Linked DNA regions of Mus musculus. The protein of the gene in region 1 interacts with the protein of each later gene in a pairwise test. Links are inferred from orthologs where the notes say so. Each region holds a gene or a part of one and is shown on either strand. Other genes may lie near its edges.

Evidence for each region.
Region 2: the proteins of Lhx9 (region 1) and Khk interact in binary tests that used the Homo sapiens proteins (3 or more experiments, as listed by UniProt). The two-hybrid records come from large-scale screens. The link is inferred for Mus musculus from reciprocal best matches to the Homo sapiens genes LHX9 and KHK.

What each region holds. Positions count from the first base shown.
Region 1 is NC_000067.6:138,839,552-138,844,108, reverse strand, and holds the start of Lhx9 (LIM/homeobox protein Lhx9), read left to right. Parts: upstream 1-1,664; 5' UTR 1,665-2,127; coding exon 2,128-2,301; intron 2,302-4,033; coding exon 4,034-4,236; intron 4,237-4,557. UniProt on the Homo sapiens protein: Involved in gonadal development.
Region 2 is NC_000071.6:30,927,830-30,931,633, forward strand, and holds the end of Khk (ketohexokinase), read left to right. Parts: intron 1-613; coding exon 614-686; intron 687-1,691; coding exon 1,692-1,838; intron 1,839-2,718; coding exon 2,719-2,807; intron 2,808-2,886; coding exon 2,887-3,044; intron 3,045-3,132; coding exon 3,133-3,218; 3' UTR 3,219-3,419; downstream 3,420-3,804. UniProt on the Homo sapiens protein: Catalyzes the phosphorylation of the ketose sugar fructose to fructose-1-phosphate.

The DNA.
Region 1 (4,557 bases):
GGAGACTTGAGTTTCAGGAAGAAGCGACCCCAGGAGCCCCAGAAAGTGAAGCTTTGGGACAGGAAGTTAGGCTGCAGCACTGGGAGTCGTTTCCTCCTCTTCATTTCTTCTCCGACTCTTCCTTCCACTTTCACGTCCTTCGCTCTCTTCTTCCTAAGTCCCCCTCTCATTCACACGGTTCCTTTATTCTCTTCTTTCTTCCTTTCCTTCCCTAGCCCCTTTCCCCAGCTTCTTCTCCTCAGCCTTCCTTCCAGATTGGGTTAAAGTTCCACGTGGAGCCGCCTGGGTGGAGGGAGGCGGCGGTGCCGCGGGGTGCTTCTCCAGCTTTCTAGACAGAAGCCCCGATGCTCGCCCGCAAGCCCGAGAAGTGGTGGTGAAGCCGAGACTGGCGAGCAGGCAGAGAGGAGCGGGAGCGGCCAGGCTTTCTTCCCTTTCGGATTAAGTTCCCGTCGCTGCTCCTGGCATCACGATCCTAGGACTCCCCCCACCCCCACCCCGTGGTCGTTTCAGTGAATCCACAATATCAGAGTATTGCGGTATTGTGGACACGTTTTAATGGGTCCAGAGGGAGGGGAAGGGCCGAGCTAACTAGAACAGAGGGCGACAGAACAATACCATCTCTTGTGAGGAGCAGTCTGCCATCCTGCCTGTTAGTTCTCACTTCCCCGCCTCCACCCAGAGCCTCTTTCACACCCTTCTAAGTGTGTGGAACACTAGCGGCTATTGCCTCGTCGTCCTACCCTAGTCGGGCATCCAGCTCACCCAAGACCTGTGCACGGTGACAAATTCCAAAGGGGACTCTAGAATTCCAAGTTTACCTTCAATCTAGAATTAGGTAAAAGAGTAACCCGCTCCACGGTCAAGGTTCTGTTAAGTATACAGTCTACAAAAGCATGTCCTGGCCTGTACACTCGAAAAATTTACTATATATATGTATATATATATATAGTAAATATATATATTTCCAAAAGTATTACTCAGAAAAGTAGGCTCTCCACGCCCCTTTTTCACTTTGGTGGACGTCTCAGAGCCTGGTGGCACCGCCTGCCCTCGGGGAGGTTAGGCAAGCAGACAACTGTCTGAAGAGTGCTTTTAATAAGTAAGTTAAGAAGAGATGGGGAGCAAGGGAGCATACATTAAAAGTACCGTTTCCGTGGAGTGATTCAAAGTCTGTGGGGTTTTTATACATTTCTGGTGACAGTCTTGTAAAACGGGGATTTAAAAAAGTCTGTAGATGAGAAGGAAACTTAAGGTTTGGAACTGATCTTCTGTGCACTCCTGGCTGGGGTCGGATAAACTAGGATCAAATCCAGGATGCGGACAATAAGGGCTCCTTTACCGCTTTGAAAACATGACTGTTGGGAACTCTTGGAAAGATGTATGCTTGAGGGTGTGTGTGTGTGTGTGTGTGTGTGTGTGTGTGCAGGCGCGCATGTGGGGAGGGGGTAAAGACCCCCTCCTTCTGCCTTTCCCCCAGTCCCCCACCCCTTTGTAATGTTTGTCCCTGCTTGCCCATCACCAGGGGGTTGAGAGGAGGTATGACAGGTCTTTGTTGTCTGAATAAAAATCCGTGGCAGCTCCAGGGAGAGGACTCCTCCTACTAAATTATCAAAAATGGGCTGGCTTTAGTCTCTTAACAAATTGGACACAGCTCCGGCTGGAGCAGTCCCCAACGCAACCTACAGGCACTGGGAACTTGCAGGCAGCCGGGGACCGCTGAATCTAGCACTTCGTTCTCTTTCTTTGTGTTCAAAACTATTTTTCTTTCTTCCTTAGATTTTGTTTTCCTCCCCCCCACTTCAACCCCCCTCGGCAGTTGTTTTCCATTAGTAACTCGATCTCTCGCTGCAGTTAGAATCGCCTGCTTTTCCCTCCGTCCGCGTTTGTTTGTTTTCTGCACATCTCCTTCTGGAAAACCCTGGATATCCCCCCCCCCCGCCCCCTTCCCCGTCGTTCTTTTGCCTCGGTCTTTTCCCTCTCAAGTAGAGCTATTTCTACTCTGTCGTTTTCTTCTTTCCTCTCTTGTCCCTGTTCCCCAACGCGTCTCTACGCTTCTGCATCGCGCAGCCCTGTGCGGTCGCTTTTGCTTCTTCACTCGAATGAACTGAGAGCCCCAGGCGTGTGTTTATGGAAATAGTGGGGTGCCGAGCCGAAAACAATTCGTGTCCTTTCCGCCCCCCAGCCATGCTCTTCCACGGAATCTCCGGAGGCCACATCCAAGGTATCATGGAGGAGATGGAGCGCAGATCCAAGACTGAGGCCCGTCTGACCAAAGGCACTCAGCTCAACGGCCGCGACGCGGTAAGGACCAGTCCGGGCGCGGCGCCCGGGAAACAGCGAGTCTCCCGGTCCGCCCAGGTTGGGGATGGCGGGTCCCGGGGACTTTTGCCTAGGGATGTTCGCAAGGTTTTCACGAGAGGCGTGCTTGCTAGGCAAGGTTCCCTTTCCGAATCGAGGTGTCTAAGATGTTGTAGTCCTGAGCTCTCCAGTCTTTGTATAGCAGCTGATCCCGAGCCGACAGGGCAGCGGGCCTTGGAAGGAGCGGGCGTGCTCCCTGCCAACCACAAACTCCAGTCTCCCGCGACCTGGCCGCCAGGCCGGATCCGCCCGCCCCCAGGGCAAGCCTTGGTGCAGTTAATAGGGGGACTACTTACCGGCCTGGCGTCCTTGCCCTGGGATAGAAGACAAGACCTTCAGAGTAGACCTCAACGTTCTGGTCCTTTTCCCATTCTTCGGAGCTCAGCACCCGAAACCAGAGATTGTTAGGGGCTCTGCAGGACAGTTCAGCTGCTCTGGTCGTCACAAAAATTGCGTTTCTCTTCCTTATGGGACCAGTGTATTGGATAGTGGGAAATCAAATCAAATAAAATGCGAAGGAGCGGGTCCCTAGTCTAAAAGCAAGAACATGAGCGCTACAACCTCAAGAGATGGAATCTACTATTGCGGTTCCTATTCGTAACAGCAGTTATTATGTCTTCGTGAAAATACTAGTAACCTAAACATGTCCCCCTTCCACGCACCAAAGGGGGAAAAAACTACAGAAGTCTGCGGAGATGATTCCGGGCAAAGAGTGCTTTGTAGACCCTCTGTATAACAGCAAGGACTGTAGCTCAAACTGACCCGAGAGGGCTCTAGACAAGAACAGCGAGGTTTTGGGATAATAGTCCACTGTCGCTATTTGTATAATTAATTCAGTGAGAATCCAATATCTGAGTAAAGGACGAAATTTATCCTTCCCATGCCCACCAGAATGTAATAAGGGAAGCCCGGACTGTTTCTGCTAGTCTGAGGAAAGGGTCCAGCGGTGAACTTTTTACTTGTAATGGCTACTTTATTTTAAAAGCGGCAACCACATCCCAACTGTGTTTCTCAGAATAAGTTTTACCGCCTTAGCTAGCCTCATTTGGGAACTAGGTCTTAGTTTGGGAATCAAAAATTCAAGATAATTATCTGTGCTGTTTGTGCTGGCTAGAGAAAAGAGCGAGTGTACGGAAAAGAATGGATGGGGCTCTTCTTTCAGGACAGGCACTTCACTTTCTCACCAAGGATAGGGCTAGGGCGACGGCCTTAACAGCAAGAGCTGTTAGGTATGTCCGAATCACAACGACGGCCAAATTATTCTGCCTATATAAATTAAAAAAAAAGGAATTATAGTATTGTCTGTGTATAAAAGATTCACGTACTTCAGAATTCTAGTTCTCAATAACAGTTTGTTATTTTATTTTGTGTATTATTTGAAAGTTACACATTTTTAGCCTTAGTTATTCTCCTTCTGGACCGCCCATCAAAACATCCTGTAGGCTCTCAGCAAGCTCAAGATGTTGAGATTTTTTTTTAGGGTCACAAGGCTAGGAGGATCAGGATGCTAGGAAGGGGAACAGAATGTTGAAAATGGGGGGAAGTTGCAAATGTTTCTGTGGCCCTTGTAATGGTGTGCTGTTTTGCGCTGGGGTTGCCGTTCTGCCAGGACGTCCCGGGTTGTGCGGCAACGCCCCGAACCCACCCTCAGCCTTGCCTTGTGCTTGTTTCACAGGGTATGCCCCCTCTCAGCCCGGAGAAGCCTGCTCTGTGCGCCGGCTGCGGGGGCAAGATCTCCGACAGGTACTATCTGCTGGCCGTAGACAAACAGTGGCATCTTAGGTGCCTGAAGTGCTGTGAATGTAAGCTGGCTCTGGAATCTGAGCTCACCTGCTTTGCCAAGGACGGTAGCATTTACTGCAAGGAGGATTATTACAGGTACTGCCCCCACCCCCAGCCCCTTCACACACTCCTCTGACCCAATTCACCAGATAGAACCACTGCGATAGAGCCACTGCGAGAATCCGGAGTCCCTTCTCTGTCCCTTTTTTTTTTTTGGCTCGGTCAGAGTACAGGTGTGTGTGTGTGTGTGTGTGTGTGTGTGTGTGTTGTTTTTCGTAAATGAGGGAAATTGCCTTAAAACTGTGTATACTCCATTGGTGAGGATGGGCGAGAAGGATCCCAGGGTGTAATGAGTTTTATCAGGGTTCTCAGCTCTTCACAGCATCCTCCGGAAAAATCAGGGAGAAGAGGAAATGG
Region 2 (3,804 bases), on another chromosome or scaffold:
CCCAGGAGACCAAGGACTTTTATACCCAGAAAGGCTCGCTCATGCCACTGGTGAGGATGGAAGGCACTCTACTGCACTACAGAAAAAACACATGTTGTGTGGCCAAGGCCACCTAGACCAGCCAAACAAAAACTCTTCCTCAGAGTGCCAGTTTTGACCTAAGGGATGACGTGGGGAGCCTGACTCAGTAGGGTGTTCTGTCAGTTGCAAGCTCCCAACTAAGAGACTAACTAAAGAAGCTTTGTAGTTCGATGTGTGCTCCCAGCAAGGGGCCTTCTGGGAAGTGTAGTCTCAGCAAGAGGCCTTCTGGGAAGTGTAGTCTCACACACTCATTCTGGAGGACGTGGTTTCCAAGGAACATGGGGCTGGCTTCTTGTCACATGTTGTAATTGTGTTTATCCTTGGATAATTTAACACGGACACACACCACCACCAACAAAAAAGGACACCTAAGCAAAGTAGGACAAGGCTCACCTCACCGTAGGGCTCAGAGCTCTGTGCTCCCCAGCCTCCTGCCATGCTGCTGGTATCACTACTAGATACAGGGTCCCTAGCTGTCAGAGAACCTGGTACTGGCTGACCTCCTTTTTTCCCTTCCTGTCTTGTAATGTAGGAACCTGCCAGATGTGTCTGCTAAGGACTTTGAGAAGGTCGATCTGACCCGGTTCAAGTGGATCCACATTGAGGCAAGCCCTTCCCTACCTGTGTTTCTAGGGGCTTAGCCTGTCAGGCCCTTCTGCATGGTCAGCCTCTTCTGTAATTTCTTTGAACCATGAAATATGGTAGGGATACTAAATAGCTCTCCCCATCCCTCTCCACTCCTGTGTTTTCCTATGAGGAAACTGAGGCCCAGAAAGAGAGATACAGGGGCATACAATCACAGATAGCACTGGGCAGAAGACCCCATTTTTGTGTTAGGCTACCTCCCTCCTGGTATCTGCCTTTGCTGACTTCTTTTACTTCTCAGGACAGGAAGGACAGGAAGGAGAGGGTCTGGAGGGAATTAGAACTTTCTTTCCAAGGGAGAAGTTTTGGGATCAAGATGAGAGGAAATCTTAAGAAGTGCAGGCATCCACTCCTTGTCTCATCATTTGACTTAGTCTTCAGGTTGTGTCCCTCTCCCTCTCCATCTCTTCTTCACTTTTCCTCTCCTTTCCCGTCTCACCTCCCTGGTCCTTCTTTCCCTCTTTGTCTCATTCTTGTTCTCTCTGTGTGTTTTGTTTGTTTGCTTGCTTGCTCTTTGTTTGACACATGGTCTGGCTATGTAGACCAGGCTGGCCTTGAACTTACAGAAATCTGACTGATTCAGTCTCCCAAGTTCTGGGATTAGAGGAGTGTGCCTCCACACCCAGCCTTTTTCTTTTTTGCTTCTTTTTCTGTCCCGCCTTTCTAGTGTTTTACTATGTAGCCCAGGCTAGCCCAGAATTCACAATCTTCCTGCTTCAGCCTCTCAAGTGCTTTGTTCACAGGCATGTATGTCCAGCATCTTTTATTCTTCAGTCTCATTTGGGAAATGAAAAATTTGGCCAATAAGGTCTCCAAGGTCCATGACAGTCCTAGAATTATGTAGCTGCAATAGTGCTCCAGCCCAGCTTCCTCCAATCCCTCTCCCTGCTCACCCAGAGGTCCATCAGGGAGGAAGGAATGAACTCTTTATCAGCTAGGCTCTGAGCTGCCCTGTCCTGCCCCAGGGCCGGAATGCATCGGAACAGGTGAAGATGCTGCAGCGGATAGAGGAGCACAATGCCAAGCAGCCTCTGCCACAGAAGGTCCGGGTGTCGGTGGAGATAGAGAAGCCCCGTGAGGAGCTCTTCCAGTTGTTTAGCTATGGTGAGGTGGTAAGTGTCCTGCAGCTCCTCCTGCCTATCTCTAGCTAATTGAATCTTAGAGCTAGAGAGGACCCTAGTCCTGCCTACCAGCCTCTGAGTGACAGCCTAGCAGCTCCCAGAAGACCACAGCTGGGAGGCTGGAGGTGACCCAGAAGTAGACTTTTCCCGCTCAGGTGAATCCACAGGTGTACGGCGGACAGGGCTCAGACAGCTATGGGCGTCCCTTGTTTGTCTGCTTTAGTCTTTCCCTCTGCAAAAGAAGGAATGACTGCTCTCCGAGTTACCAGTTTTTCCCACTTAGATGGCATGTTGTGAGGGCCAGTAGCAATGAGAGGAGGATGGGAAGGAGACTCGTACAAGGAAAACTTAGGCCAGAGTGTAAAGGGTATCACTGCTAAAGCTGGTTGGACAGTGTCCAGATGTAGTTTGTTGGCCTTGTTGCCCAATTAAAAAATATGGCAGACTGATCCCCATTCCCCCAGAACTATTCTAGGGACTCTGTCTTGAAGCCACTGTGGAGAGAGCCTTGTTTTACAGATGAACCCACTCTGCAGGGCTGGGCTGTGTGGGGAACAGATGAAACACAGCTCACTCTTGAGAGTCAGTCTGGCTTGACTTCACCCCAAGATGGCGCTCTAGGCTCTTTCTGGGTTTTGAATTCCCTCATGCCAGAATGAAAATACCAGGGCTACAGTATCACAGTTCCCAAGGCTGTATTTTGGCACAACTTAAGCAAACATAAAACGCGTACCTGTGGGTCAGCAAGAAGCCACACTAGGGACTTACGTGACTGAGTTGGAGGAGTTGTGCTATAACCTGGAGTCAACACCAGGTTGTTGGTAGTGAGTAGCAATTAGAGGTGACTACCAGTCTCTTTCACTGCCTACAGGTGTTTGTCAGCAAAGATGTGGCCAAGCACCTGGGGTTCCAGTCAGCAGTGGAGGCCCTGAGGGGCTTGTACAGTCGAGTGAAGAAAGGGTGAGTTGGGAAGCCAAGAAAGGGTCTGAGGGGTCTGGGGGATGACGGGGACTAGCGCCGATCTGTGTGAGTCTTACAGGGCTACGCTTGTCTGTGCCTGGGCTGAGGAGGGTGCCGATGCCCTGGGCCCCGATGGTCAGCTGCTCCACTCAGATGCCTTCCCACCGCCCCGAGTAGTAGACACTCTTGGGGCTGGAGACACCTTCAATGCCTCTGTCATCTTCAGCCTCTCGAAGGGTGAGGTCATCACCATGCAGCCAGGGCAGGGCTGGGCCTGTCATGCTCCCAAACACCAGGCTGAGCCTGCTATTTGTCCTTTCTCCAGGAAACAGCATGCAAGAGGCCCTGAGATTCGGGTGCCAGGTGGCTGGCAAGAAGTGTGGCTTGCAGGGGTTTGATGGCATTGTGTGAGAGGCAAGCGGCACCAGCTCGATACCTCAGAGGCTGGCACCATGCCTGCCACTGCCTTCTCTACTTCCTCCAGCTTAGCATCCAGCTGCCATTCCCCGGCAGGTGTGGGATGTGGGACAGCCTCTGTCTGTGTCTGCGTCTCTGTATACCTATCTCCTCTCTGCAGATACCTGGAGCAAATAAATCTTCCCCTGAGCCAGCTTTGTCTGTCTGTCTGTCTGAGTGGGGTTTTGTTTGTTTGTTTGTTTGTTTTTTTATTGGTTTTCTGTTCGAGATAGGGTCTGGTCGTGAAGCTTAAGGTTGATCATGAACTTGAAACGCTCCTGTTTCAGCCTCCCTGTGCTGGGATCCCAGGCCTGGCTCATTCGCCCTCGTGGATCTTCACCCTGCTCTGGTTGGAACTGAGGTTCTGACACTACACTCCAGCAACTTTTCTCTTCCTCCTTCTTCATTCTTTAAATAGCCTCACCCACTAACCCAGCGGGGAGGGCATGCAGTCCAAAGCAGCTGGCGTGCTCCCACCTCCTGTCAGCTGTGCTCCCACCTCCTGTCAGCTGTCATCAGAGGAGTTTCATCCAGGTCAGGG